4 linked regions of the Saccharomyces cerevisiae S288C genome follow. Changing the gene in region 3 together with the main gene of any one other region gives a genetic interaction. Each region holds a gene or a part of one and is shown on either strand. Other genes may lie near its edges. The genes, in order: RAD27, RRM3, MMS1 and HSL1.

The links.
Region 1: mutations in MMS1 (region 3) and RAD27 together harm fitness more than expected from each alone (negative genetic interaction), as found in Saccharomyces cerevisiae (4 studies listed by BioGRID, with this or other methods).
Region 2: mutations in MMS1 (region 3) and RRM3 together harm fitness more than expected from each alone (negative genetic interaction), as found in Saccharomyces cerevisiae (6 studies listed by BioGRID, with this or other methods).
Region 4: mutations in MMS1 (region 3) and HSL1 together harm fitness more than expected from each alone (negative genetic interaction), as found in Saccharomyces cerevisiae (5 studies listed by BioGRID).

Annotation. Positions count from the first base shown.
Region 1 is NC_001143.9:224,222-227,698, reverse strand, and holds RAD27 (multifunctional nuclease RAD27), read left to right. Parts: upstream 1-1,823; coding exon 1,824-2,972; downstream 2,973-3,477. Other genes in the region: DNA-binding protein ABF1, read right to left, coding at 1-1,129; DNA-(apurinic or apyrimidinic site) lyase APN1, read left to right, coding at 3,244-3,477. UniProt on the Saccharomyces cerevisiae protein: Structure-specific nuclease with 5'-flap endonuclease and 5'-3' exonuclease activities involved in DNA replication and repair.
Region 2 is NC_001140.6:170,299-174,693, forward strand, and holds RRM3 (DNA helicase), read right to left. Parts: upstream 2,673-4,395; coding exon 501-2,672; downstream 1-500. Other genes in the region: mitogen-activated serine/threonine-protein kinase SLT2, read right to left, coding at 1-46; ERC1 (Erc1p), read left to right, coding at 3,046-4,395. UniProt on the Saccharomyces cerevisiae protein: 5' to 3' DNA replicative helicase recruited to paused replisomes to promote fork progression throughout nonhistone protein-DNA complexes, naturally occurring impediments that are encountered in each S phase where replication forks pauses.
Region 3 is NC_001148.4:868,827-875,459, reverse strand, and holds MMS1 (Mms1p), read right to left. Parts: upstream 4,758-6,633; coding exon 534-4,757; downstream 1-533. Other genes in the region: Rho family GTPase RHO1, read right to left, coding at 1-92; TIF3 (Tif3p), read left to right, coding at 5,505-6,633. UniProt on the Saccharomyces cerevisiae protein: Component of multiple cullin-RING-based E3 ubiquitin-protein ligase complexes (CRLs), which mediate the ubiquitination of target proteins. The CRL associates with CDC34 as the E2 ubiquitin-conjugating enzyme.
Region 4 is NC_001143.9:247,132-254,026, reverse strand, and holds HSL1 (protein kinase HSL1), read right to left. Parts: upstream 5,108-6,895; coding exon 551-5,107; downstream 1-550. Other genes in the region: YPF1 (aspartic endopeptidase), read left to right, coding at 1-330; YKL102C (uncharacterized protein), read left to right, coding at 5,660-5,965; metalloaminopeptidase APE1, read left to right, coding at 6,345-6,895.

The sequences.
Region 1 (3,477 bases), on a different chromosome or scaffold from region 3:
AATTATTGTAAGAGCTTTCTAGTATTTGATCAAACTTTAAATCGTTTTGTAAAATCTTTGGAATCTTAGTTAGGATAAATTTACCCAGTGACAAGTTATCTTCTAGTGGGTGACTATGATAGGGCTCAATTTTGGTAACGACAAATGGGCCCGGTATATCATCGGTAGCAGAATTGAAGACGTCTAAATTCATAGACGTGTCTCGTATGGAGGATGGTGAGTGGGAGGAAATGCCGTGGCTACCGACATTGTTGTTATTGATATTGCTGTTATTGTTGTGATCGTTATTAGTATTATTATCTTGGCCATCATTGTTGTTAGTGGCATCATCGTCTTTTCCATCGTGCTTATTGTTTGATTGAGAATCTACATTTGCGACGGCATTGGCAATGGCAACGTTGATGTCTTCATCGTTCACTACGTCAGAATAGTTTTTCGTCATTTGGGTATGGACGTCATCCTCCTCGTTGTGACGGTGGTTACCGCTGTCATTACCATGAGTAGGACCGCTCTCGTCGTCCAATCCCCGGTCAATAGAGGCCTTATTTATCGAATCATCTTCAGTGTCGTTCTTGATAGTAACACCTTGCTGTTTAAAAATGTTGTTGGCATCAGCATCATCGTCATTGTTCCCATTCACCTCATTGCTTCTCGACTCCACTTTGTCATTGGTGTCGTCCGGATGAGTGTTCGCCAGATGGTATTCAAGATCATCAGTAACGAAGTCAAGTTTACTGTCATTGCTAACCTTATTATTACTGCCATTGTTATTATCATTGTCCTCGTTGTTCATGTTGTTGCTATGATGATGAATATGATCAGGAGTACCCGGAGGGTTGGTATTATTATTTGCAGAAGGAGATGAGGTTTCTGAGGATGCAGCATTGCCAGCATAGCTTAGCAAGACTTTAAATGGACAGTTTTTCAAATGACAGGCAAATGTAAAATGTTTGTTCCTATGCGAATTCTTTAAAATAATAGGGCAACGCGTCTGAAATTCGTACTCATTAATTACATCATACCAAGCACCCAAGGTGGGAAATTTTTTGCCTCCATGGGCTCCAATGGCCAGGTCTTTATTAATTATAGGGTGCTTGTATTCATAATAATTCACGACTAATTTGTCCATCCTTGTGAAATTGCAAATATGGTGATTTGAAACGTTTCCTAGTGCAGCAGGATCACAGATAACGTGTAAAGGGCTTAGCAGTTGATAATCCTCTCTAGTTGAGATCTAAACAAAATGCTGTCACTAACCGTAGTATTAAATGACACACTTTGGTGACTTTCGTTAATGGGGATGTGGTAGTGGCCATTGCCAATAAACAAAAAGAACAGGGAAAGAAGTAGAAAGTGATATAAGTTTGCTTGCCACTTTTCGTTTTTCACGAAAAAAACAGGCGAAAAAAAATGCTAGACTAGTACCCGGCTGAATCACACCTCGTTAACAGTGACTTTCGGTGACAGATACCCGATTGGGCACCCGGCTGGTAAGTTATGATAGAAAGCCAACGCTGTACTATTGGCTTAGCTATGGCAATATTTTGATTATCAACTAGTTTTATTAACGTTATAATTAGTGTAACCAGTTTTTCATCTATTTCATTTATTTCATTTATTTACTTTAATTGCAGATCCCCCTAACGCGTTTAAAGCTTTTATTCACTAGCTTATGTATTTTTTATAGGAAACGCGACGCGTAACATCGCGCAAATGAAGGTTTTGATGTATTATAATGAGGTATTCTTCCTTATATACATCGATGAAAAGCGTTGACAGCATACATTGGAAAGAAATAGGAAACGGACACCGGAAGAAAAAATATGGGTATTAAAGGTTTGAATGCAATTATATCGGAACATGTTCCCTCTGCTATCAGGAAAAGCGATATCAAGAGCTTTTTTGGCAGAAAGGTTGCCATCGATGCCTCTATGTCTCTATATCAGTTTTTAATTGCTGTAAGACAGCAAGACGGTGGGCAGTTGACCAATGAAGCCGGTGAAACAACGTCACACTTGATGGGTATGTTTTATAGGACACTGAGAATGATTGATAACGGTATCAAGCCTTGTTATGTCTTCGACGGCAAACCTCCAGATTTGAAATCTCATGAGTTGACAAAGCGGTCTTCAAGAAGGGTGGAAACAGAAAAAAAACTGGCAGAGGCAACAACAGAATTGGAAAAGATGAAGCAAGAAAGAAGATTGGTGAAGGTCTCAAAAGAGCATAATGAAGAAGCCCAAAAATTACTAGGACTAATGGGAATCCCATATATAATAGCGCCAACGGAAGCTGAGGCTCAATGTGCTGAGTTGGCAAAGAAGGGAAAGGTGTATGCCGCAGCAAGTGAAGATATGGACACACTCTGTTATAGAACACCCTTCTTGTTGAGACATTTGACTTTTTCAGAGGCCAAGAAGGAACCGATTCACGAAATAGATACTGAATTAGTTTTGAGAGGACTCGACTTGACAATAGAGCAGTTTGTTGATCTTTGCATAATGCTTGGTTGTGACTACTGTGAAAGCATCAGAGGTGTTGGTCCAGTGACAGCCTTAAAATTGATAAAAACGCATGGATCCATCGAAAAAATCGTGGAGTTTATTGAATCTGGGGAGTCAAACAACACTAAATGGAAAATCCCAGAAGACTGGCCTTACAAACAAGCAAGAATGCTGTTTCTTGACCCTGAAGTTATAGATGGTAACGAAATAAACTTGAAATGGTCGCCACCAAAGGAGAAGGAACTTATCGAGTATTTATGTGATGATAAGAAATTCAGTGAAGAAAGAGTTAAATCTGGTATATCAAGATTGAAAAAAGGCTTGAAATCTGGCATTCAGGGTAGGTTAGATGGGTTCTTCCAAGTGGTGCCTAAGACAAAGGAACAGCTGGCTGCTGCGGCGAAAAGAGCACAAGAAAATAAAAAATTGAACAAAAATAAGAATAAAGTCACAAAGGGAAGAAGATGAGGGGGTTCTTTTTCCACTTTCTTCTTTTGGTCCTTCACCTTGGCATATATGTAACATAGATATTTGTATACACGAACTTTTTTCATCTAATACTTCTCTTTTTTTGCCAGTTTTTCTGGGAACTTGAACGTGGAATTTTTCATTCTTACCTGGTTTCTTTTTCTTCATTTCTTTACATGTTGGAAATCATTGTAAATATAAGATGACAAACTCCGAATAAGAAACACAAAACGCAACATTAATAAGCTTTTGGCATATCGGAACCATCGTAATGCCTTCGACACCTAGCTTTGTTAGATCTGCTGTCTCGAAATACAAATTTGGTGCGCACATGTCAGGTGCCGGTGGAATTTCTAATAGTGTAACTAATGCATTTAACACTGGCTGTAATTCGTTTGCCATGTTTTTAAAATCTCCAAGAAAGTGGGTTTCTCCGCAGTATACACAGGAGGAAATAGATAAATTTAAGAAAAACTGTGCAACTTACAATTATAACCCATTGACG
Region 2 (4,395 bases), on a different chromosome or scaffold from region 3:
CTTGATTGAAGACCTTGAAAGTATGCCTCTCTATCTTATCAGCCATCTCCCAGAATTGTTATACACGCCCTTCAATTATTTCTACTATTTTGATAGCTTCAATAAGAAAATCTGTGGCCTAGATTTGCTGACTGAATGCACAGTTCGTCTAATATATATATATATCTGGCAGACCAGGGTCTTCAATTAAATCTAAATATTTGTGTAGGATCTGATTTCCCTCACTTTTTTTTTCGATATATTCCTGGCTAGATCTCCTTTTTCAGTTTCTATTTTTAACACTGAAACTTTCCATTCTGCCAACATTTCGCAGTCTTCTATAAAAAAAAAAAAAGATAATATAAAAATCGCCGCATACGTAGGCTTAGCTAAATAGATGGCTTCTAGATGAATATTTCGGGATTCTGTTAAATTATACAGATAGGCTCACAAGTATTCGAACCTGTATAGAACAAGAAAAGAAAACTTCAACTAGAGTATATGCATTTATTCGTTGCAAGTCATTTCAAAGTTTCTAAACGTTTATAGAAATCTTTTACTCTTTCATTGGTGCGAATCTTTCCTGGATCAAAGTTTAGGACCTGTAAGGTGTCCATAGTTACCGCTCTTGACAGTGCAACATAAACTTGGCCGGCTTCGAAAATTCTCCTCAAGTCGACCTTTAGTCTTTGAATAGTTTGACCCTGTGCCTTATGAATGGACAGTGCCCAGCATAGCATTAATGGAATCTGAGTTCTTTCTAACCCGACATTTTCTCTGGGAATATCAATGGGAAAGCGCTCTGGGACCATGAGCTCATGTATGTACTTGTTTTTACCCACTGTCCACCTCACATAGGGGAATTTTTCCTTATGCGGAGAGATCTTAACTGCATAGTTTATCAAGATTTTCAAACGTTCCAATCTAGCTAATGGCCTGGCATTCAAATCTTGACGAAACTCCTTTGATTCCTTTAACAAGGGATTACCAATGACCCGACTCACTAATCTCATGTCCATGACAACTTCGTCATCCACAATCTTGTAAATTTCCTTCATTTTCACCACCAGCGATTCTGTAACAAAAAACAAAACTTTTCCCAATGATCCATTAACTAATTCTACATCAGGCTTATTTTTCAACATCATTACCTGTGCATCTTCCTTCAATGCGACAACTTTTTCCACCATTAATGAAGAATCTAGTATCGCTTGGTATCTCTCGGGCGCGTTATCTACAGCTTTAAACTCATATAAATCACCAGGTAGAGACTGTAATTTCTTTACGTTGGATAGTTCAACTTCTCTTCTTGTGGCATACAGTTCTGTAGGAGCAATTCCATCGGCATAGTCTATATCCCTATTTAGGTTCCTTATTGTTTTAGCAATGTCGACAGTCAGCTCTCCGTATCTTATGGCATTTAGAATATCAATTAGTTTGTTATCCTGTTGTCTGAAAACCTTTGTCAGTAAAATCGTTTTTTGAATGCACCGTTTCCACATTTCACTTTCAAAACAAAATTTCACAACGTTATGCTCGTCCTTCTTAGCAACTGGTGGTAGTTGAAAAAAATCGCCTGTCAGGACCAATTGAATACCACCAAAGGGATCGTCGTTCTTCCGAATTCTCCTTGCGATTTGCTCTAATTTATCCAACAGATTACCATCGACCATAGAAATTTCATCAATTATCAAAACTTTTGTATACCTCCATGCGGCCAATAAGTCCTTTTGTGATTGTATTTTTTTCACCAATTGGTCGATAGTTTTGTTCCCGATTCCTATACCAGACCACTTATGCAATGTGGAACCACCAATAGTCACTGCCGCTAGCCCAGTTGAGGCGGTAATTGCAATTGATTCTTTCCCATACAAAGAGCTCAATTGTCTTATGATCGTTTGCAAAATGACCGACTTACCTGTACCCGCACTACCGGTGTAAAAGACATTTGTTCTTTTTTTGACGATTAAATTAACCACTCTCTCTTGCTCCATTGTAAGTACCACTGGCGAAGACGCACTTCGGTGGTTCATTGAGTCCATATTTGATACTGTCTTTCTTAGCAGTGGTTTTATTTTCTTTGGTACTGTGAGCTTTAAACCTTGAAACTCCATAGAAGGTTTAGACCTCTTGGCTGGTCTTTCTGAATCAGTAGAAAGTTTCATGCTAGAATCTTCAATATTAATTGTACTAGTGAACGATAATTGTCTAGAATTGGATTTCACGCTAGTAACCTCTCGCAAAGTCTCATCCTCATCAAAATGGTATGTTTTCTGAGTCGTGGACGCAGAGGCAGTCTTATGAAGAGAGCTGGTCATCGACAGCGATCTGCTAGACTTTTTATAGCTATTGAGTCTCGGCACATCTACCAATTTTTTGAATTCTGCGTCGGGATCATCATCTCCAAACGAACCTTGACTCTGCGAGAATAAGGAAGACGAATTATTCCGTATTAATCTTGGCCTAGGAGGTGCTGTTATATTACGGTTACCTTCGTCACCGCTTTCCAAATCAATTATTGTCGTGCTGTTTTTTGAAGCAGCAGCAGATTTTTTGCCGCAACCCATAAAGAACGAAGACAACGTTTGTTGCCTGTATGCGTGAGAGCCAGATGCCGAAGCAGCAGGTGTGCTACCATTTGAGGATCTTTTAGACCATTGCTTCTTGTTACCGGAGGCATGCGACCTGAACATCGGGATGTCTTATAAGAACAAATCTCTCGACTTTTGAGCTTGTTCTCCTCTGCTTATTGTTCGAGATGATGTTTATTTACATATTCTTTGACGTAATAATATCGGAATAATGCATGCGCATTCGGGTTAGCCCCGTTATAGGGAAAATGAAAAAAAAAAAAATAATAAAAAAAAAAAAGACTAAAAAAATAGAAGAGCACGGCAACTTAAAAAGAAAAAAAAAATTTATGATAACTACAAAATAGTAAAGAACCCTGGCAAAAGAAATAAATCCGGTAAGGGAAGATAGACCGGCTTAAAAAGTACTTTTTCAGATTTGTCAAGGGTCTGTGTTAGCGGTGAAGAAGATAGAAGAAGAAGACGAAAGAAGACTATGTCTAAACAATTTAGTCATACCACCAACGACAGAAGATCATCGATTATCTACTCCACCAGTGTCGGGAAGGCAGGGCTTTTCACGCCTGCAGACTACATCCCACAGGAGTCAGAAGAAAACTTAATTGAGGGCGAAGAGCAAGAGGGTAGTGAAGAAGAACCTTCCTATACCGGCAATGACGATGAGACGGAGAGGGAAGGTGAATACCATTCGTTGTTAGATGCCAACAATTCGCGGACATTGCAACAAGAAGCGTGGCAACAAGGTTATGACTCTCACGACCGTAAGCGGTTGCTTGACGAAGAACGGGACCTGCTAATAGACAACAAACTGCTCTCTCAACACGGCAACGGTGGGGGAGATATAGAAAGTCACGGACATGGCCAAGCAATTGGACCGGACGAGGAAGAAAGACCAGCTGAGATTGCAAATACGTGGGAGAGCGCGATCGAGAGTGGTCAGAAAATCAGCACAACTTTTAAGAGAGAAACGCAAGTGATCACGATGAATGCGTTGCCGCTAATCTTCACCTTTATCTTGCAAAATTCGTTGTCACTAGCATCTATTTTCTCCGTCTCACATTTAGGGACGAAAGAGCTAGGTGGTGTTACACTCGGTTCTATGACTGCTAACATCACGGGTCTTGCTGCTATTCAAGGTCTGTGTACATGTCTGGACACACTGTGTGCGCAGGCATACGGTGCCAAAAACTACCACTTGGTGGGTGTGCTAGTGCAGAGATGTGCTGTGATCACCATCTTGGCGTTCTTGCCAATGATGTATGTTTGGTTTGTTTGGTCGGAAAAGATCCTAGCACTAATGATTCCGGAGAGAGAACTATGCGCGCTAGCGGCTAACTATCTACGTGTAACCGCATTCGGTGTGCCAGGATTCATCCTTTTTGAATGTGGTAAGAGGTTCCTACAATGTCAAGGTATATTCCATGCATCCACAATCGTGCTCTTTGTGTGCGCACCCTTGAACGCATTGATGAACTACTTACTTGTTTGGAATGACAAGATTGGGATTGGGTACCTTGGTGCGCCATTATCGGTTGTGATCAACTACTGGTTGATGACGCTCGGATTACTAATATACGCAATGACCACCAAGCACAAGGAGAGACCACTCAAATGCTGGAATGGTATCATCCCTAAGGAACAAGCATTTAAGAACTGGCGTAAGATGATTAACCTAGCTATTCCCGGCGTGGTGATGGTGGAGGCAGAGTTCCTCGGCTTTGAAGTGTTGACAATTTTCGCTTCCCATCTGGGCACCGATGCCTTGGGCGCTCAGTCGATTGTGGCTACGATTGCGTCTCTTGCATACCAAGTGCCTTTCTCTATC
Region 3 (6,633 bases):
GAAAAGACGATTAATAAACATGTCTTACCACAGGCACCATCACCAACGATTACCAGCTTTCTTCTGATACTGTTACCAACTTGTTGTGACATCTTTCTAGTATAATTTTTAAAGTTCTATGATTTTCTATTAGTGCAACAATAAACCTCTAACAGCGATTCTTTTGTTTTATTAATTTTGTTCCTTTTTTGAGTTTTGTAACTTTAAGTTTGGGTTGTTCCAAAAATGTTTTTGCAATACTCAGAGGAATGATCGATGGTCGAAACGATATTAAAGACGAATTCCTGCTGGTAAAATAAATATATACGATTAGGATAAAGAAGTATTTGTATCAACTACTAAAACATGTAGTACCCAATACAAATCAAACAAAAATTGTATAATCTGTTTATTTTTTTTTCTGAGGCGAAGCAAATTGGAAACAACAAGAATTCTTGTATCTTTTTTTAGCCCCTTGTCACGCTGCACGACGCGTAGCACATTGATCGAGAATCACGATTTTATCAGCGACAATGTTATTGGAAATGAGGGAATTATACTGTGTTCTTGCAGTTATCGCTAAGGTTCCATAACCCAACCTCACAGATGAGGTCAGATTTAACTATTGACCTTCTTGAAACCAAATAGCCAGAATTCCATCTTGGTTCGTATTCGTCCTGGCAAGGCAACCTGTCCTTGCCGAATTTGTGAATTGTTTGATCTGCCATTAGCACATATAAAGTTTGTACTGCGGGATCGTAACTAATATCTTGAATAGGCTTGTCCAATGCTACCGCATTATAGGGAGATAGTCTTTTAGTTCTCATTGCAGTGCTTCCTAATATAGAACTTATATCCTCAAAATAACGGGATGATACATGATCCTCATATACTATAGTGGCGGCTCGGCGTAGTGAAGGTTTTGGTGTAGAAGAGTGGTTTCGCCAAAAGAGTAGTAAATTTCTACGCTGCCTTAGGGCAACCTCTGCTTCGTCATTCTCCGACCGTATGCCTTCGCTGTAACGATTTACGTGCCTCTCACCATGTAAAACATCATACAAAGCCATAGTGCCAAATTGAAATCCTTCAGGAAAGTCAACCTCGAATATGTCGTCGACTCTCCCATTCCCATATTCATCTGGTAGGCTGCCTGTTTCGTTATTAAGCCCAACTTTGATGGTGGGTAAAGAGTAAAAAATTAATCTTGAATCTAAATCGTTCCTATTTCCACAGTAAGCGGCAACAACAAAGCAGCATTCATTTAATGGTATTATCTTTTGAACTTTTGAATCAGGATACATTTCCAAGGGATACACCCTTCTCGATTCGTCAGATGATGAAGAGAAATCCTTAATCAAGTAGAGCTTTTCGCCCATATTTGTGGTAGCAATGATATTATCGCCTACTACAGTAAACGTCTTAACTGTACTCCAACTCTTAAATGTAAACCGGGTTTCCAAAGTGAGCCGCAAAGTCGTATTATTTCTCTCCTCCTGGTCAATGCAATGTTTTGTGACTTTCAACTTGTTAAAGGACATTTCGTTATCGGTGCCCATAACTTTATAATCCAGAAAGAATATTTCACCTCTGGGAGTAATGACCAAATGATTGAGGAGTCTTGAATTGTCAAGTTTATACGAATCTATTATTTGATTGGAAATTTTGTTTTTTGCAGCAGTTAATAAAACTAGTTTTAATGAGCTAGTAAAAGAGATCAATAATACAGTTTTCTTTTCTAAAGGATTGTCCTCTGTTGCTATTGGTAATTCCTTTATTTCTAGGATTTCTTCAGAATCATCCTTAAGAAGTTGAGAATCTAAACCAACTGCCTTACCATCTGATAGTCTAATACACTCCCATTCCCTCAAGTCCTGATTCAATACCAGCATTCGATTTATTTTGTCTAGATATAAAAATTTCTTATTTTTGCTTCTTGTAGATTTTAATAAGAAATTTCCATTATTTGATGTTAGGTATGATAGTTCGAGGATTCTTAAGCCATCAGAGTAGAGTATGAATAATTGGTTGTTTTCTATGTCCGGACAGACTTCAAGAATTGAATTGTTATTACCTAGGTGCGGTAATTTTAGCTTGTAAAAATCCAATTCTCTACTGTCGTGAATTGGCGTTAAATTGATGACAAAAATTTCAAATGCACTAAATGCCAAACATTGATTCACACCAAAGCTTCTAAATTTAATATCTTTCCCTTGAAAATTAACTCTGCTTGTACATCTGGATCCTTTTTTGAAGCAGTTGTTCTGTAAAGTGTGCACCTCAAAATATGATTCATAATCGAGAGAGCAAAAATAAGGGCCGTTTATTAACGCCTGCTGAACACTCAAAATATACACATCAGAAAAATCAAGTGAATCACTAATCCAGTCAGAAAAGGGTGTACGAATGACACAGTCTGGTAAAAGGATCCAAATGTCATACTTGGTTGGATCATCTGTAGACTCTTTGATTTGAAAATTGACACTCGTGACAGTTCCTAACTGCTTGAAGAACTTGCTCATGCCTTTGCTGCTGCTTAAGTTTGAAACTAAGGCGCCAGACTCATCAACAGCGTCTATATTTTCAATATAAGAGACACAGCCAAGCCCAGCATTCCAAACTATTAAAATACCATCATTGTATGTAACGTTTTCGAATTCCCAACCTGGAGAAATCTTACGCAACTCTTTGTCCCCACCAATGGGATCGATGTATATCGTATCCCTAGTTACTTGAATCAAGTTATTTTTCGTAAAATTTAGAAGGATAGTTTCGTTTTCAGTATCACATAGTAAATCTTCTATATTTATCAGTCCTTGAACGGGATCATCATTATCGATTGTCGTTGTCATAGTTAAATCTAATAAAAATATTCTGTTGTTAGAAACAGCGTCGGTCGCAAAAATTAACGAACTTTCGGTATTTGACTGGTTTATTCCAAGTCTCTGTAACAGAGCAATATCAAGGTTCTTACATTTCCATATCCTAAGATGTCTAAAAATTTGAAATTGCTTTAAGTGGATAAGTTGATGAGTTTTCCTGAGTTTATAATCAATGCAAGGTTGAGTTATTGCATTTGGTGAGGTAAGCCAAACTTGAGAATTTCTCGTGTCATTGATGTTAGAGCCTGTGTGTGTGTTATAAAATTTAGAAGACGTAAATGCTAAAATTTGAGAGTTCTCCTCTGTGGAACTATCAATTGTGTGCTTGAAGGTGATATTTTTCAAAGGCTTAATAACGTCTTTTTTATCTAAACATCTCAAATCTTCTAGAGATAATGTTAGCTCTAATGTTCTACTAAAACTTATGACCACCAGTACATAACTTGAGGATCTGGAGTCTAAATTTATCGGATTTGAAGGTAGTGGTGAAATGGATTTCAATCCTTTGAACCTAGTTAGCTCGTAAAATTTTAAATTACCATTTACTATTGTCGATCGTTCGGTGACGCAAAAACAAATATTTCCTGTCGAGGAGGATATTATGGTACAATATTGGAATTTTTTAAATGTATGTGGGTGTAGTTCTTGTAATTTTAATAACAATAAAGGAGCTGGAAAAAATGACTTGATTCCCTTGAGAGCCTTCAATTGGAATGAGTGGAATTCAGTCTCTCCTGACATAATTTGATTTGCAGAAACTAAAGAGAACTTTAGGGGTGTTTCGACTAAACATGCATTTAGTCCAATGGGTATTGTCATATTAGTCTTCTCACCATCAAATACTGTCAATTGATATACCTCTTTTTTCTTTATTTCGTTGTTGTTCCATTCTATGACAAAGTAGACTATCCTTTCATATCTTATGGCTGTTATAAATATAATGAAATAGGGATCTAAATCAGTGTAATTTGTTGGGAAAAAGGATCCGTTCATAATCACGGAATCGGTCAATGTTAAATTGTTTACTAATTGAAAAGTAAATGGTAAATGGAATTCAAAAAATTTGCAAATGCCTAGTTCCTTATGTATAAGAACAAACTGCTTCTCGTTTTGGTGCTTGATTATGTTCCACTGACCTTTTTGTCCCAGGTTCCAATATTGTAGCAAATATGTCTCTTTACCGTCATCAAGCGGTAAAATAGACAATAAGTGACCACTTGGTTGAGTGAGTAATATTAAAATTGCAACGTTGTTGGGTTTTATAGCTATGCTGCCAGATATGCCAGACTGTATGTATGTTATTGAAGTGCTACCTGTTTGAAAGATTCCATTGTTGGATACTATTAAACTGAAATGCTTTTGTTGGATTTCTTCCAGCGCCTGCAATTCAATTTTTGGTTCTTTAACATTACCGCTGTCACTGCTCATTTCTATGTCATCCAATGCTTCTATATCTGAATCATCTAAGGTTTCTGGGTTTTTATCAATGTCAAAAAGACTACCTATTAGTGTGTTATACTTTTGAGGGAAGCCGTCTGACAGTTCAGAACGTTCTTGCAAAATGTATTTTAATACTGGTTTAAAATTTATCGGACTTGAGATTGGATAACAAAATTGAGGCATTTGACCAATATTCGAATCGTGATATCTGAGCATCATCATTGATGGTTCTAGCTTTGGCCCTACACAAGGTCTCACCCAAGTTTCATCCTCGGTATTTTGATAAAAAAGCTCAGGTTCATTCCACTCACGTGTGGTGCTTGAATCAATTAATAAATTGGGGGAAACTCGGAATGACTTATGATTCAACCAATCTTGCAGCTCAAGTTTGCCAAAATCCGACGGGCGACGAATATAATGTTCATACCTGTCTAAACCATGAGTTCGCAAACCTAGCATACCTAATTGACACCGTACTACTTTAATTAGACCCAGAAACGAAACGGAATGTGAAGCGATTTCTTCTCTTCTTCCAATTCTTTTGCAGAGCCCATCTCTGGCAAAGGGCCATTTGTTGGAAATCACTCTAACATGGCTTCTGTTTCCCGATAATATGCGGGTAATGCCTCGCACTTCCTTTGGTTTTGAATTTATGCTATTCTCTTTCTTTGCACATCTAACTTGAAGTGATTAGTACCAGATTGAGCTCAGCTTCTCAAAATTATTTCGAACATATCAATTTAGTTTGTAAGTCATAAAAATCGATATTTTTTGCTTTTTCCTTTTTTCCTAAATCTTCTTGACTGCTTGCAATCTTTGTATCTTCATCTTTCCTTTCTCATGTTTCCAAATTTAGCCTGTATATTCATAGAGACTTCTTAAAGTAAATTTTGGCAGGATAATAGGGTACTGAAATCTATGTTGCTTTTTATATCCTGGCGCTACTTAGCCGCCCAACCTTTTTGTCTTCTTGTCTTTTTTTCTTTTTGGCTTTATTTCTCATCAGATCACGCACCACGGAATGAAAATTTTTTTGCGGAAATCAGCATCGCTAAAGAAAAGCAGAAATAGAAGCAGAAGAGATAGATATAACTACAGAGTTAGAGAAGATCAGTAGACCAATAAGCGGGATTATCATAAAACTCGAGTTTATATTAGCTTTCATCTGTCTTTAGGAAAATAATACCATAATAAAAAGGACACATCATGGCTCCACCAAAGAAAACCGTAAAGAAGATGGACCTTACGTCATTTTTAAATGATGACACCTTTGGTTCATCTTGGGCTGAAGAAGATGTCGATTTGAATAAGATCACAATTCCTATTGAAACCGCTAATGCAAACACTATTCCATTGTCCGAATTGGCTCATGCTAAAAACAACAGCAATAACACGCGTTCAGGCGGCTTTGGTGGCAGTTTTGGAGGTAGATCTAGATTAGACCCTGCTTTGGGGGGCGGTTCTTCCGATAGAAGAGAGGAATACCCTGTTCCAGATGCTCCACCATATAGGGCTGTCATAAACAACATTCCATGGGATATTACCCCAGAGGGTGTTCAAGCCTGGGTTGAAGATGGTTTAGTTAAGCCTGAAGCGGTTGAAGAAGTTGTTTTGCCAAAGAATCTAAGAGACCCAACAAGATTAAAGGGTAATGCTTTCGTTACTTTGAAAGAAAGAGCAGATTTGGTCGCCGTTCTGAAGTTCAACGGTACTAAATTGAATGAGAGAACTGTTTACGTTTCTGTTGCGGCTCCAAGAAGAGGGGGAGGTGCAGATGTTGATTGGAGTAGTGCTAGAGGCTCCAATTTCCAAGGTGATGGAAGAGAAGATGCACCAGATCTTGATTGGGGTGCCGCTAGAGGTTCTAACTTCAGAGGTCCAAGAAGAGAAAGAGAAGAAGTTGATATTGACTGGACTGCTGCAAGAGGTTCCAATTTCCAAGGCTCTTCCAGACCACCAAGAAGAGAAAGAGAAGAAGTTGATATCGACTGGAGCGCTGCAAGAGGCTCCAATTTCCAAGGCTCTTCCAGACCACCAAGAAGAGAAAGAGAAGAGCCAGATATTGACTGGAGTGCAGCTAGAGGCTCTAACTTTCAAAGCTCCTCGAGGCCACCAAGAAGAGAAAGAGAAGAGCCAGATATTGACTGGAGTGCAGCCAGAGGTTCCAACTTCCAAAGCTCCTCAAGACCACCAAGAAGAGAAAGAGAAAAGGAAGAACCAGCTTTGGATTGGGGTGCTGCCAGAGGTGCTCAGTTTGGTAAGCCTCAACAAACCAAAAATACCTACAAGGATAGGTCTCTAACTAACAAAAAGACTACTGATGAGCAACCAAAAA
Region 4 (6,895 bases), on a different chromosome or scaffold from region 3:
TTATTATACATTGTTCCTTCCTTGTTGATTAGTACTATTTTGGTAGCTTGCTGGAACAAGGATTTTAAGCAGTTTTGGAATTTTCAGTATGATACGATTGAAGTGGATAAAAGTTTAAAAAAAGCGATAGAAAAAAAGGAGAACTCTATAACTTATTCGACCTTCATCCTATCAGAATACTATAATGATGCCGACAAGTATGCCTTGCTTGGTGATGATGTAAACGAAAATTTTGACGATGATGAAGAATTCGTGCAAGAGGAAGATCTCAGTGACAGCTCTGAGGAAGAGCTTTCTGAAGAAGATCTCTTGGATGACGAATCTTCTTGAGCTCCAAAAGAAACGACAGCTCTTTTTACCCCTCCAGGGTTGTATTTATCTTCTAATCTAGGACAATGTTTGTAAAACCCTCTTTCTTTCCTTCGTGTCTCATGTCTCTCCATTTATTAATGTTCTTTTAAACTATGTTTTCTCACGCCTGTCCATTCGGTTCTCGTACGTTAAATTTTTCAAATTATTGTTGTATAATTATATAACATCTATATAGAATTTATGAACGTCCGGCATTTCGAATTACTCTCTCCACATCATCATTAAACTTTTCAAAGGCTTTATTGGAACTTGTGTTTGAATGTTTGCTTCTTTTTTTTACAGTAATTACCGTAGATGCATTGGGTGTGCTAGTAATCTTGATTTTGAATTTGAAGTTGCCTTTTACAAATTTACAATCGTATTCCACCACCTTTCTCCCAAATTTGTGATCTAGGTTCTTTAATTGATAGTCGATACTATTCTTGTTGAATTCATTTAATGTTAGCATATGCGCATCATCAAATGATATATTCGTTACATGATTCTTGGATGCCTTAGTAGCATTATTATGAGAAGAAAAGTTTTGAAATAGTTTGACGAACCAATTCTTTTTATCACTGGAAGGCGCTTCTTCAACTTCAACATTTTGGACACTTTTTAGAATTGGCTTTTTTGTATGGGTTTGTGTATTTGATTCCATAGCGGTATCCTTCGTAACTTTAATCGTTGAGGGTTTTGGTATTTTAGAGTAGTTATTTTCTGTATTATTTGCATTTTCCTTTTTTTCAACCACCGGCAACACAAGTTGAGAAGATTCCTCGGATATTTTATTGTCTAGCTTGGTATGCTCTTCTTTAATTTTTCCCCCACCTACTTTTTTAGATTCTTCCTCCTCCTCATCGAAAAGCATTGTCACTCGTTGTTTTGGATTAACGCTTTCCTCAGATGGTCTTCGCTTTGAATAGCTCATACTTGATTCAAGAATATCAGCTTGAGAAGTATGCCCATCTTGATCTTCCTCCAAATCTTTGAACATTGACTGTAAACTTTGAGAAATGCCTAATGCATTACTATCACGACTACCACGCGTGGAAGAAAACCTCTTTTGCATATGTGTATTAGAAGGATTTTCTGGTGACAATCTAAGTTTAGAAAGTATCTCTTCAGTAGTCTCTCTGGGTATACCAGAACTGTTATTATTCCAATAAAGACTTACTCTAACATTTGTCGCGGGAGTAAGAACGTTTGTTGTCGCCATAGTGTCAATAGATACCGCTTTCCTATGCACACTTGCTCGTGAATCGCTTTCTGAAGAAGATGTATTTAATGAACCCTCATCGGAGGGCGCATCTTCAAAAATATTAATGGCTTTTTCATCATATGTGTTTGGTATAGTATAATCTGGAATATAATTAGTATCGCTATTATCTGGTTCTTTTTCCTTCGAGATATAGGCTGCCGATTTGATTACTTTTTCTTTTGTAAAAGAAGATGCTTTGGGCGAAGTATTGATTTTATTATTGTCCGTGTCGTTGTTCATCAGTTGAATCGCCTGAGCGGTAAAGGTGTTTGTTGGTATTTCCATCGCAAATGTCATATCAGAGATTCCATCCAGATCATTACTCAAATAGGAGCCAGGTGAGCCCTGATTACGTTTAACGGATAAATTGGCGTTCAAATTAGACCGTGGAGTTAGAGATATTTTGGCAGATTGTTTTCGCAAAGGGTGTGACATGGCTACACTTCTAGATTGGTTCTGTGGCACACTTAGATGCTTATCATCACCGTCATCAGCGAGTATCTGGCTAAGATTTTTGAACGTCATAGATGTGTTCAAAAAACTAGAAGGTAAAGACAGCATTGGTTTTTGAATTGTACTAGATTCTGCTAAAACACTGGGATCTCTCGAAGATGTTGCTACTGTTGTTAAAGGTACATATGAACTTTCGATTGAAACATCTGAGGCTTTGACTGGTTTTTCGTCTTCCACATGTTCACTCATGAACAAGGAACCTCTCTCATGGGTCCAGTGAGAGGCTGGCTCCTTTTTGAATTTCAGTCCCTGCAATAGTGATTCCACTTTTGAATTCACTGGCTGGGAGATGTTACGGCGGGGATCTAGAGATAAGGACGGTTTACCTTGATCATTAGGCAAAGAATTTACACGAAGTTCTTGGTGCTGAATAGGTTTGAGTGGTGACGGGCGGTCATTTTTTTTTTGAAGTTGTTCTCTTTGAATCTTTTTTTCTATCCTCATACCTTCCTGTTTATTCATTTTATTGAATGAGTTCGTGATATCTGAAAGGGCCGCTCTCTTTGGCTTCTGTTCTTCCAAATAACTTGAGCTTAACGTGTTTTCTTTTTCAAAGATAGGAAATGAAGAGAGCCCTGACATATTCTCAGATGGTTTATATGACATATTGAATTGATTTTTCTCAATTTTGGTTGGATACTCCGGGCCCTCATTTTCCTTATTTGTAGACACCCCAGAGATCGTAAAAGTGTCTGCCGAAGATTTTGTATCGTTTTGCCTCTGTCTTTGGGTGTCGCGTTCTTTTTCATTGTCCTCTTCCTCTTCGAGTATCCTATCTAAGGCGTTTCCAAATAAGATCTGATCGCATAAGATCTCAAAATCAGAGTCTGATTCCAACGAATGGGGTTCTGATTTATTCACATTTTCGGATGCTGGTTTCTTACTAGGGAGAGGATCGTCAAAGACTAATAAATCATTCAGGTTCAAGGAACGTTTTGAAATTGACTGTAATGAGTATAAGGATCTCTTTGAAGCCGAGTTTTGTAGTGTTCTTCTAGCGGCAACAGTTGCAGCTATATTCTTCCTCGAAAGTGATTTATGTATTGATTTAGTAGATGGGGAGGCGTGGATTGCCCTTCTTGACAATGAATATCTTGAAGGCGACTTCGGCAGTTGAGGTAGAGGCATCTCATTATCATGCACAGTTTCTCTAGAAGTTGAAGCGGACAATGATAATCTGGAATTCGATAAGCGTAGCGATCTTCTCGAACGTGATGAAATAGAGGTGTATGAGTTACGGAAAATCCTTGATGAAGAAGCATTGAATATGGGAATAGCGGGTGGTAATGTTACAGCTTCTGCTTCAGCCTTATCACTTTCAGGTTGACTGAGCGTATTGATACTAAATTGCGATTTTTGTGCCAATACAGGGGCATTAATTTCTGTATTAACCCCTGTAATTGCGTTGTTCTGATTCACTGTTGAAGTATCTTCTGAATGAATTTCTAGAGAATGTAAAGTCTTCACATCATTGTTCTCGCTCCTTAGGCCTGTATTATTGGCAGTTTTGGATGCGTATTCAATCCTAGGTTCATTTACGCTACTTTCTGTTGCTGATTTCTTGTTTTCGCTTGACGAGGACAATGATATTGAGTGACGTTGTTTATATTGTAATAACAGTGAGTAGAATAGTTTTTCCTCCGACATTGGCTTTTGAAGCAACTTGGCAGTGATTAGTTCACGAGAAACTCCATGCCACAAAATTTGCAAACTCCTCAAGATGGATTCATCAATTTCCCCTTTTGAATGTAAAGTTACAATAGAGGGCGAGACATTATTTAGCAAATGCAAATCCGAGTTAGATTTTCCCCTCGCCATGTTATCCTTTCTCATTTTCCTCAGCACTTTATTAACTGGGAGATCATCATATTTTTTGATCAGAGGATGCTTCAATATCTCTTGAGTGGTAATTCTTTTTTCTGGATCAATTACCAATATTTTTGATATCAAATCACGAGCCTCAGAAGATAAATTTGAGGGCATTTGATATTTGCCCGATTGAACTTTCAACAACAGCTTTTTGATGTTGTCATCATTAAATGGTAAATGACCGGTGAGTAATGCAAATAAAACGATACCGCAGGACCAGACATCGCTAGGACCGCCATGATATGGTCTACCCATAACAATTTCAGGAGACGCATAGTGTGGAGAGCCACATGAAGTTTTTAAAAGTTTATTAGGAAGCTCTAATGCTGCCATGCCGAAATCAGCAATTTTGATTCTCCTATTCTTTTTATCTAATAATAAATTTTCAGGCTTCAGATCACGATGGCATATATTAAAAGAATGACAATAGGAAACACCTTCAACTATCTGCTTGAAGTAATGGATAGCCTCCCTTTCAGGTAGCTTTCCCTTCGAGACCAGATAATCGAATAATTCGCCACCATCAACATATTCCAAAACTAGGTACAGCTCTGATTTGTTCTCCCAAACTTCAAACAATGCCATAACGTTTGTGTGAGATATCAATTTCATGATTACTATTTCTCTCTCTATGCCATATGGGTTCGTTTGAGAATGGTTACTATGTTCTCTAGATGCTATTGATGGAGAAGATACATTGGAAGTGACCATGGAAGAAGAGTAAGAATTAGGAACAGTTCCATTATTAGAACAATGAACAAAGGCTTTCTTCTTGGGGACAATTTTAATGGCAGCTAATTGTCCTGTTTCCATATTTTTAGCCAAGCGAACCCTACCAGAAGATCCCTTCCCCAATGTTTTGCCAAGTTTCCAAGGACCCACCGTGTCTCTGGATTTTCTCTTTGATGATTTTGTAGCAACACTTACGGTAGAGTCGGGCTGAGATAATCTTTTGGTAGCGTCGTTCACAGATTGTACAACACGCTCCAAATGCCCCGACGCCCTTTTTGGATTCGAATTTACTTTGGCCATGGCCCTTTTAGCTGCCTTCTTGGCCAATGAAGACGGGCGACCTTTGGGTACGTGGCTCGTTTTTGAAACGTGACCAGTCATGTCGTGTGGTAAAAATAAAAAATATTAATAACAAATAATAAAGGAGTGAATATAGTTGGTTGTTGATTTATTTATCAGTATTTTTTGTCCCGCAAATCTATGTCGTTCTTTTTACCTTGTCTTTCTTGTAATTTTATTATTTATCTCTTTTCGCGATTAGTAGCAAGTAGTATGATGGATATCCAACCTATTTGATGATCTATTTGAGTTCAACTCTCTGTTTTAATGGCCTCTCGCTGTCCAATTTACGTCCTTGCAGTCGGATAACTAGCGAACTTACGATCCAAAGGGAGTTTTAAGAAGAAACAGGTTTCGAGCAAAAGGTAACTTGCTTATATTAAGAACGCCAATAAGAGTGGCCACTATAATGCTGCTCCCAGCCGGTACAAGACGGTACGGTACGTGATGGAGATTAGTTTTCACTATTTAGCCCAAACAACCCAACGCGAAAATGACCACGCGAAAAGAAAAATTAGTAAAAATATTTCACAACGCGAAAAATAAGGACGAAGGCAACACATTCCACCTTCCCTGTTATTGTAAAACGCACAAATGTGTGCTTTATTCGCTGAGGTTTCATCGACAGCTGCAGCCAGTTGTTCATTCGGTGTTCTCTTGTGCAGCGGCTCAAATTGTGGCAGGCTTGTAGGCTCCGAACGCCGTAAGGTACTTTATGTTTTTAATGTCAACGTTTGCAAGAAAATGTCATCCTATTACTTTCTGAGGCATGATAACATTGTAATCCCTTATCTCTTGCGCTTGTTGGTATCAGATAAAGAAGCATCAAACAAGAACCCACTCCTTCCTTTTCTCATGGATAAAGAGAGGTCGCACCATTTCGTGAGGAATATGAATTAGTCAGCTTCTACTTTAGGGTATAGGTTGCAAACTTCCGTTTTTCTCAAGGTTTAATCAGAAGCATAATAGGTCTTCGGATGATTTCTTGTCTAATTCAAAAAAAAAATAATCTGGGATAGGTTTTTCGGGAAAAACAACTAGGGGTGATGCTGTTTTGCACCTCTATTACTGTAAGATAGGCTATGCAAGCAAACGACAGTAAGAAAGAATAGGGTTAAGTGAAATAGTTGACACACCCCTTAATCGTTCCATTAGATAATAAAAATTCATTTATAAGCAGTTGACTTCACAGAACAAGACATACACTGTATAGAGCCTGATCAGTAATCTTAGTGCAATTGTAGAAACCTGCACAACCAACAAAATTAAGAAAAAAAGAATGGAGGAACAACGTGAAATACTGGAACAATTGAAGAAAACTCTGCAGATGCTAACTGTAGAGCCATCTAAAAATAACCAAATCGCCAACGAAGAAAAGGAAAAGAAAGAAAATGAAAATTCGTGGTGCATCCTCGAGCACAATTATGAGGATATTGCACAGGAATTCATTGATTTCATTTACAAGAACCCTACCACTTACCATGTAGTATCATTTTTCGCGGAGCTGTTAGATAAGCATAACTTCAAATACTTGAGCGAGAAATCCAATTGGCAGGACTCCATTGGCGAAGATGGTGGGAAATTCTACACTATAAGAAATGGAACTAACCTATCTGCCTTTATCCTGGGCAAAAACTGGAGAGCCGAAAAGGGTGTCGGTGTCATTGGATCTCATGTGGACGCTTTGACGGTCAAATTGAAGCCCGTCTCCTTTAAAGACACAGCGGAAGGTTACGGAAGAATTGCTGTTGCTCCCTATGGAGGTACACTGAATGAATTGTGGCTAGACAGAGACCTAGGTATTGGTGGTCGCCTTCTTTACAAGAAGAA